Canis lupus familiaris: one gene and its partner. The protein of the gene in region 1 interacts with the protein of each later gene in a pairwise test. Links are inferred from orthologs where the notes say so. Each region holds a gene or a part of one and is shown on either strand. Other genes may lie near its edges.

Evidence for each region.
Region 2: the proteins of MAPK14 (region 1) and DUSP1 interact in binary tests that used the Homo sapiens proteins (3 or more experiments, as listed by UniProt). The link is inferred for Canis lupus familiaris from reciprocal best matches to the Homo sapiens genes MAPK14 and DUSP1.

Annotation. Positions count from the first base shown.
Region 1 is NC_049233.1:5,351,516-5,355,327, reverse strand, and holds part of MAPK14 (mitogen-activated protein kinase 14), read right to left. Parts: intron 2,394-3,812; coding exon 2,264-2,393; intron 1-2,263. UniProt on the Homo sapiens protein: Serine/threonine kinase which acts as an essential component of the MAP kinase signal transduction pathway.
Region 2 is NC_049225.1:40,472,972-40,477,576, reverse strand, and holds the start of DUSP1 (dual specificity protein phosphatase 1), read right to left. Parts: upstream 2,837-4,605; 5' UTR 2,590-2,836; coding exon 2,223-2,589; intron 1,953-2,222; coding exon 1,807-1,952; intron 1,474-1,806; coding exon 1,254-1,473; intron 816-1,253; coding exon 445-815; 3' UTR 1-444. UniProt on the Homo sapiens protein: Dual specificity phosphatase that dephosphorylates MAP kinase MAPK1/ERK2 on both 'Thr-183' and 'Tyr-185', regulating its activity during the meiotic cell cycle.

The DNA of each region.
Region 1 (3,812 bases):
ACTGTGCCACCCAGGCACCCCATCAGCCCGCCCTTTTTTTTTTTTTTTTTTTTTAAGGTTATTGTATGGGACACCTGGGTGGCTTGGTGGTTGAATGTCTCCCTTCAGCCCAGGTCGTGATCCCAGAGTTCCTGGATGGAGTCCCACATCGGGATCCCTGCATGGAGCCTGCTTCTCCCTCTGCCTGTGTCTCTGCCTCTCTCTCTCTCTCTCTGTGTCTCTCATGTATAAATAAATCTTTAAAAAATAAAGATTCTTGTAGCCCTTCCTAAATTAGAACAATTGTATCCCATCAGTGTGGCATCTTCATTTCTACAAATAGAGAGTGACCCACACATAACCAACCTAATACCACAGAAGACACATTTTGAAGTTATCTCATTACAGAAAATTAGAGCATAATAAACTAAATAAGGTTGTTTCTTATGATCACTAGAAAAGCCAAGGCATGGATTCAGATAACCCAAAATAATCTTTGCCCTAAACATTGGCTTAAATGGTCTATGAAGAAAAGCAGAACAATAAAGTATAGCGCTGGTAATCTAAACCAGATGTTTGTAAATGAGCACTGGCAACATCAGTGGGAACCCAGGGCCTCCTGAAAGTGCTTTGGGGTTCCATAAATGTTTCGCTTGCATTCCATTTTCAAAGTTTTCTTATTTAAAAAGCTATGATAATGTCTTTGTCATATTTATTAATGTGTAATGAAAAACAGCATACACACTCAACTGTGTTAAAAACCAAATGTAAACACATCAGTTAAGCTACCAGGCCACCTTGATTGTATGCAGACCTTGGAATAAAGCTTCTCCTGCTAGCTTTTTCCATATATCTCAACTTCTTGTAAACATGTCACTGATTAGGAAGGCTGCAGCTCTACTGAACTTTTTAAAAACTCAGCTTTGCACATGAATGCACATAAAAATTATACCTAGGTATAAAGGTTACCTGTGAAAAACAGAATTTGCTCAATAGTATGCAATTAAAATAAACCATGAAAATAAATAAGCTACTCCTGTGATTACAACACCATTTCTGTAATCCAATTCTAAATTCAAGTCTCAAGGGGCAGCCCGGATTGCTCAGCAGTTTGGCGCCGCCTTCAGCCTAGAGCCTGATCCTGGAGACCCAGGATCAAGTCCCACGTTGGGTTCCTGCATGGAGCCTACTTCTCCCTCTGCCTATGTCTCTGCCTCTGTGTGTGTGTGTGTCTTTCATGAATAAATAAAATCTTTAAAAATAATAAATAAATAAATAAGTAAATAAATAAATAAATAAATTCAAGTCTCAATGCTCCCAATTTAGAAAAAATTTGTACCTTGTTAAACAACTGTATATTAATAAAGTATCATTTATCTATAATTTAAAGATATTCTTAAAAGTTTAATTATTAAAACAGAAAAGATCTGAATAGCCAAGTAATAAATTTACACATTTTGAATATTTTTTCTATACAGTAACAATCAATACGGTCAAATGACTCTAAAATCTCTATGGTCATTGTTTCTACAATGCTACAAATTTTACAGTTTCTTTCATACAGCAATCAAATAAATTCTTTTTAACTTGATTTTGAAATTTAGGAAAGTAAGTATCCTTTGTCAACTGTCTTTTCACTTTCAGCTATTATTCCAATTGCATCCCTTTATATATTGTATTAGGGTTTTTTTGCAGGATGGCATTGCTCTCAAATTTTCAAATTGACAGAAAAGAAAGGGTTATATTTAACTTAAACAATGTCTTTGTCACAGTTATTAAAATACCTGACTCTGGAAAAGCTATACTGCAAAAGATTAAAAAGGAAAATTATATCAAATCACCCATAAATTAATAGTCACCTTTGATAGGGCATTCAGTGGGCCTAAGGCAAGTTGTCTCAAACTTCTCCACTGAAATAACCCATTAAAACACAAAACAACCTTAGAGTCCCATATTTGGACACTACAATATTAAGTAAATCTGGTAAAGAATGCAAAATTATTTTTGTAGTATTTTCTCTTAAAAATGCTTTTATTTTTGTTGGCTAATGCTTTCCCTCTAAAACTGTCTTAGTAAAACTCAAACTCCAGGAAGATGTACCCATGAACTCCCAAGGCTTTGGATGGCTACCTGGCATAACACAGTGGCCACAAACACCCTGGTACCAGAAGAATGGTCCAAAGTTCGATGCATTCTCATGTATTCTCATTTCAGTAATCAGAACACATTTTTCCCCCAGTCTATTCAAGAGCAGCATTTATTCTTCCTTGTATGAATAACTTACATTTTCATGTTTCATATGTTTCAGTAACCGCAGTTCTCTGTAGGTCCTTTTGGCATGAATAATGGACTGAAATGGTCTGGAGAGCTTCTTGACTGCCACACGTAACCCAGTTTTTGTGTCAAAAGCAGCACTAAGGAAAAAAAAGCACATATAAAGAATTCATCAAGGAATGTGCTCTAAATACCTCAAAATTAGTATTTATAAGGAAGGCTATTTTGTTTCCAAGTGAAATTGGTATACAATAAAATACAAAGTATAAAGATTAAAAACTAAAATGACCTATAATCCTGCTATCCAAAGTAACCATCTGTTGTTTTGGGGGGTGTTTCCTTCTCATTTTCTTTTCTAGGTACCTAAATCAGGGGTCAGAAAATTTTTTCCACAAAGGACCAGAGAGTAAAATATTTCAGACTTTGTGAGGCATAGGGTCTTCAGCACAACCACTCAACTCTGTGGTTATAGCCAGAAAGCAGCCAGACAATAAATTTTAAAAATGGATGTAGCTGTGTCCCAGCAAACACAAAAACAAGCGGCCACTTGATTTACAGGAGCCAACAGACCAATATACAAAGACCTGGATTCTGTCTGCCTCAGGCCTATCACCTTGCCACCAAATGTTGATCAGAATGGAGGGCTTGGAATGGTTTCAGGACAATGAGGTGGCACAAAAACTTCTTGAGTGCCTACAAAGTATCTGCCACTCTTCAGAAGCTAAAAATCTAATAAGGAACAAGTCAACAAATCCCTCAGGGGATGGGGGAGAGGGAATGAGCTGAATAATACAATAATTTCAAATAGTGATGAACGCTATCATGAAATAAAACAGAATAATGGGACAAATGAGAGAAAGCCAGTGGGGTTTTGCTTCTTTAGCTAGGATGTCTGAGCAAATAGGTTCAAGCTGACAACTGAATGATGAGAACATAGCAACCATGTAGAGGTATAGGGAAAAAGAGCTTCAAACAGAAGGAAAAAATTGTATTAACATTTATTGAGTCTTTATTGCATACCAGAAGCTGTTCCAGGCCTAACTGTTAATTTTTTTAATTAAAATAAATTTTAATCCCCAACACCCCTATGAAGTAAATGCTATCATTCCCCCACTCAGAAATGAGGAAACCAAAGCACAGACAAGTTAAATAACTTGCCCATAATCACAAGACTTGAAAGTGTCAGGAGGAGGGAATCTGGATCCACAGCTCATGCTATTAACCATTTTGCCATGCCGCCTCTCAGAAGAGCAAGTACAAACAAAGGAAAGAAGAAACAGGTAGAAAAAATATGGCATGCTGGGGGGTGTAAAGATGGCCTGTGTAGGTGGAACACTGGGAGCACAGGGAGAGTAGAAAAGAATGAGGTCAGAGGTATGGGCAGAGGCTAGATCCTGTAGGACAACTGCAGCAAGAAACTTGATGTGTATTTTAATTATTTTTAGAGACTGGGCTAATCTGATCATGCCTCATCCTCCTGTTTATCTCAGTCTCGAATGGGCATCCAAGACTTCTGGATCATCTATCATGACCAAACTCTTTTCCCATGTGACTCTGTA
Region 2 (4,605 bases), on another chromosome or scaffold:
AAAAAATTGAGGTATTTGGTTCTTCTAGAAGTAGACATGGACATTTGTGAAGGCAGAGCACCTACACAAAAATAAATAAGGTATATTCTCATAGGTATGTGTCGTCAGGAATGATAATACTGGTAGGTATGTCAAGCATGAAGAGTTCCTACAAAAAACAGGAGCAAGCAAAAAGAAACTGGCTCATACAATGAGTCCTTTCTTTTCTGCCCCTTTTTCTCAGAGGGACTTGATGTACCCACTATATATTGGTCCCAAATGTGCTGAGTTCAGCAAACATCTTGATGCTACATCATCACTATGACTGCTTAGGAACCCAGTGGAACTCGGGGTGAAATTAAATAAATAAGGACCAGCCCTCAGAAGCCCCTCCCCAGAGTTACTGCATTTCTCCTCAAGGAGCCTAGAGTCCCAGCGGGGTTGGAGATCACCTCCCGTGGCCTTTCAGCAGCTGGGAGAGGTCGTAATGGGGCTCTGCAGGTAGCTCAACGCACTGTTCGTGGAGTGGACGGGGATGGAGACAGGGAAGTTGAAGACGGTAGTGGTGGAGGTGCTGCGGTCCAGCACAGCCATGGCAGGGCTCCCGGCCTCTGCTGAGCAGTGTGGAGCCAGGACTTGGGACTCAAACTGCAGCAGTTGGCCCATGAAGCTGAAGTTGGGGGAAATGATGCTTCTTCTCTGCTTCACAAACTCAAAGGCCTCATCCAGCTTGACTCGGTTAGTCCTCATGAGGTAAGCGAGGCAGATGGTGGCTGATCGGGAAATGCCTGCCTGGCAGTGGACAAACACCCTTCCTCCAGCATTCTTGATGGAGTCTGGAAAACAAAGCGTGGCTGGTTACTCAAGAGCTTAGGGGTACAACCCCAACCCCAGGCATAGGGTGCCTAAGAATTATGTGTGTCCTGTCCAGAGAACCACAAGCCAGCACACAGTGCTCTGTGGAGGCAACGAAGGCATGTGCAAAAAATAGCATGGGATTTAAACCAAGACCAGGCATCTCCACAAAGCAGAAGTGATCCTGGACGGGAAGTCGGTTCAAACTTTCTGAGCCTCAAAAAAAAAAAAAAAAAAAAACTTTCTGAGCCTGTTTGCTAATTTGTTAAATGGGACTTTGCAGGGACGGCTGCCTGCACCAACTTATTGAATGTATGGAGAAAGCTCAGGCGGAGGTCATTTTAGTCCTTGCCACAGAGTTGGGCTCAGTGACTAAAATGTGGAAGCAAGGCAGAAGTCCCAGGCATCTGTCCATTTACCTATGAAGTCAATAGCCTCGTTGAACCAGGAGCTGATGTCCGCCTTATGGTTGTCTTCCACGGGGATGCTCTTGTACTGGTAGTGACCCTCAAAATGATTGGGACAATTGGCTGAGACGTTGATCAAGGCAGTGATGCCCAAGGCGTCCAGCATGTCTTTGCGGGAAGCATGATAGGCACTGCCCAGGTACAGAAAGGGGAGGATCTCCACCGGGCCACCCTGAAATCCAGAAATATCCAACACTGGTCAGGTTTTGCTCAAAGTCAATGCCCACACCCACAAAAACTCCCTGCTGGAAAAGTCAGTTTCAGATACCGGGTGAATTCAGCCCTGTTGTTGGAGCATAAACAAGTAGGGGGCTAAATCCATTTGCCTCAAGTTCATTTCTGTAGTGCCAGCAGTTAGACTCCGCTCCATCAGACCGCTTAACCGCGGGATAAACTACTAGCCCCGCGTCCTGTCCCTTACAAACCAGCAAGTTACTTTGTATATTGTCCCTAGCACCGCTCTTCCAGCTGTTCTTTACCCCCTCTGGCACGGTCCCCTACTAACCTGGTCATAGAGTGGGGTGCTGCAAGAACTGCACCCGGATTCGGTGCTGTCAGGGACGCTAGTACTCAGAGGAAGGCTGAGCCCCATGGGGGTCGACTGTTTGCTGCACAGCTCCGGGCAGGAAGCTGAGAAAGCTTCATAGCCTCCTGGGAAGACAAAGAGACACAGTTGTTTCCATTAGCATCCTCGGGGACAGGGCACCTTCATCCAACACCCCCGCCCGCCCACCCGGGCTCAAGTTTTACCCCGGAGAGGCCCAGGCAAGTCTTTGTTCTTAAAGCGGAACAAAGCCCAGGACAAGTCCCCGGAACAGGGCTCGGGCGCCCGCGCGCTCCAGGCGGAGCGGCCCGCAGGGGCTGGGGGACGGCCGGCGCGGGGCGCGGGGCGCGGGGCGCGGGCGCCTCCGGGGGGCGTACCTTTGAGGAAGAAGACTCGCGCGGCGCGCGCCTCGCGGCAGAGCGCGCCCGCGGCCAGGGCCAGGGTGCCGTCGCGCTTGGCGCCGTCCAGGGCGGCGCTGCGCTCGTCCAGCAGCACCACGGCGTGGTAGGCGCCGGCCAGCAGGCGGCCGCGCAGCTCGGCGTTGGGCACGATGTGCTCCAGGCCCATGGCGCCCTTGGCCCGGCGCCGCACGATGGTGCTGAAGCGCACGTTGACGGAGCCGGCGATGTGGCCCGCGTTGAAAGCGAAGAAGGAGCGGCAGTCCAGCAGCAGGCACTGCGCCGCGCGCTCCCGGAGCAGCGTCCGCAGGCCTCCGGCGTCCAGGGCGCCCACGTCCATGACCATGGCCGGCCCTAGCGCCCCCAGCGTGCCGCACTGTCCGCGGGGCTCTGTCCTCGGAAGCCAAGGGCAGGGCAGAGGCTTTCGAGGAAAAGCCCGACCCTGCTTCTCTCTGTGCGGGACCCCAAACTGCCCTAAGACTGCGCGAGGGGGCGTCGTGCGGGGCCCTCGGCCGCCTCGGCGTCTCTGCTGCTCCCCCGACTGCCCCTCCGGCCCCGGCCACACTCCGCACAGCCCAGCGTCCTTCGCAGCGAGCTCGGCCCGGGGGGACGCGTTTATATGTGGCCTCTCTGGGGGCGGGGCGGGGCGGGGCGGGCGCGCAGGGGGAGGGGAGTTGTTTGTTTGAATGGTGGTCACGTGGCCCGCGGTGACGTCACCCGCCCTGCCCGGCTTGGCGCCGGCGGAGCCAGAGGCGAAGACGTCATCGGCCTCGGAGCGGGATCCGCTGGCCGCCGGCTGGCTCGGGCCCCGGTCCGGCCGTCCGGCCTGCGCCTGCCGGGTCTCCGAGGATCCGGCCTGCGCCGCTCTCCGGGCCCAAGGGGAGCAGAGGTGGCGGGCGCGCTGCCAGCCAAGAGCTGGCCTCCGGGATCCGAGCGGCTGGCTGGGGGAGGGGGCGGCAGGCCGCGGCCTCCCCCCCCCGCCCCCGCCCCGCCCGCGCCGCCGCCGCCGCCGCCGCCGCCCCGAGTGGGAAGGGGCTTCCTGCGCTTTTGCATACACGTGTGCCCCCTTTCGCTCATTTCCTCGTCACGCGTAGGCGCGGAAAATCAGGTTCCCCAGAAGCGATTTACTTCACCCGGTGTCACAATGCTGGGGGTGGGGGGACAGAGAGGAACCTGAGATGAGGGTGGGAGAAACTGTAATAAGTTTGCCCATGGAATGTGCCTATTAAGGACAACCGAGGTGAGCCGGGGTGAGGTTCCGGGGAGTGTTCTCTCGTTTCCCAGACTTGCTCTCCTGTTACTTAAGGGAAACATTTAACAAGTAAAGTGCCTTCCAGTCGAACCCCGCTGGGGTAAGTGATCCCTAATCATGTCGTTCCTATAGGACTTTGAGCCGAGAAAGGCGGGTCTGTAAGGGGAATGAAGTCGCAAATGTCGGGGCTGAAGGTGCCGTCGTGGATTGCGGGGTTCCGCGTTAGAGGAGGCGACACCCCTCCCCCGGCGTGGCTCGACAGCGCCCTCCAGGGGTCACCGGGCATGTTTCTGGCCACGTTCGCTTAAAGACCGGTTGAGCTGCTCCATCTCTCTAGTCCATAAATACTGTGTGGATGTCTACTATGCGCTGGCCTCAGGGGCTTCGATCCCCACGCCCTGACTCTCGCCATCTATGTGGGTTGGATTCGAAATCCAGTCCTACGTGGCTTTAGGAGTCCATGGCTGACGTTTGGGAAGACCCCGAGCGGCCCCTCGCGCGCCGAGTCCGAGGGCGGGCCTCCGGGGCGGGGGAGGGCGGGGGAGGGCGGCGCCGACGTGCTAGGTACACAAACATAAATATTGCGCCATCCGGCCAGGGTGCAGAGTCAGGAACATTCTGCGGTTTCTTCCCCTCTCCGCGGGCAGGGGGGATGGGATGGGGATTTCAAGGACCCTATGTCGTTGAGTTGGGGACTGTATCACCAGCGCAACTTCTGCATTTGCCTTGTTTAGCTTCTGTTCAGACACGCTCAAACTTTCTGCCTACATTCTAGAATAAAGTTCAGGACTGAGTGCTTTTTCTTAAGGGCGTTTTCTACCTTTAGGTGAACATTAAGGACTGCAAAAAGGTCCTCCAGATAATGGAAACACTCTCCCTGTATCTTTAAAAAGAAAAAAAAAAAATCTTTGTTTATACTACTTACTCAGCTGAGGAACTCAACATATTTTTTGCATTGAATCATAAAATGTTAGTTACAGCTGCTGACTTTTCACAGCATACCAACTTTATCTGCCCCCCCCCTTTTTTTTAAACCAAGTGCATTCATCATATCTTCCCTACCCACATTAAAAAAATTTTTTTTTTTTTACACATCTAGTATAGTGGTGG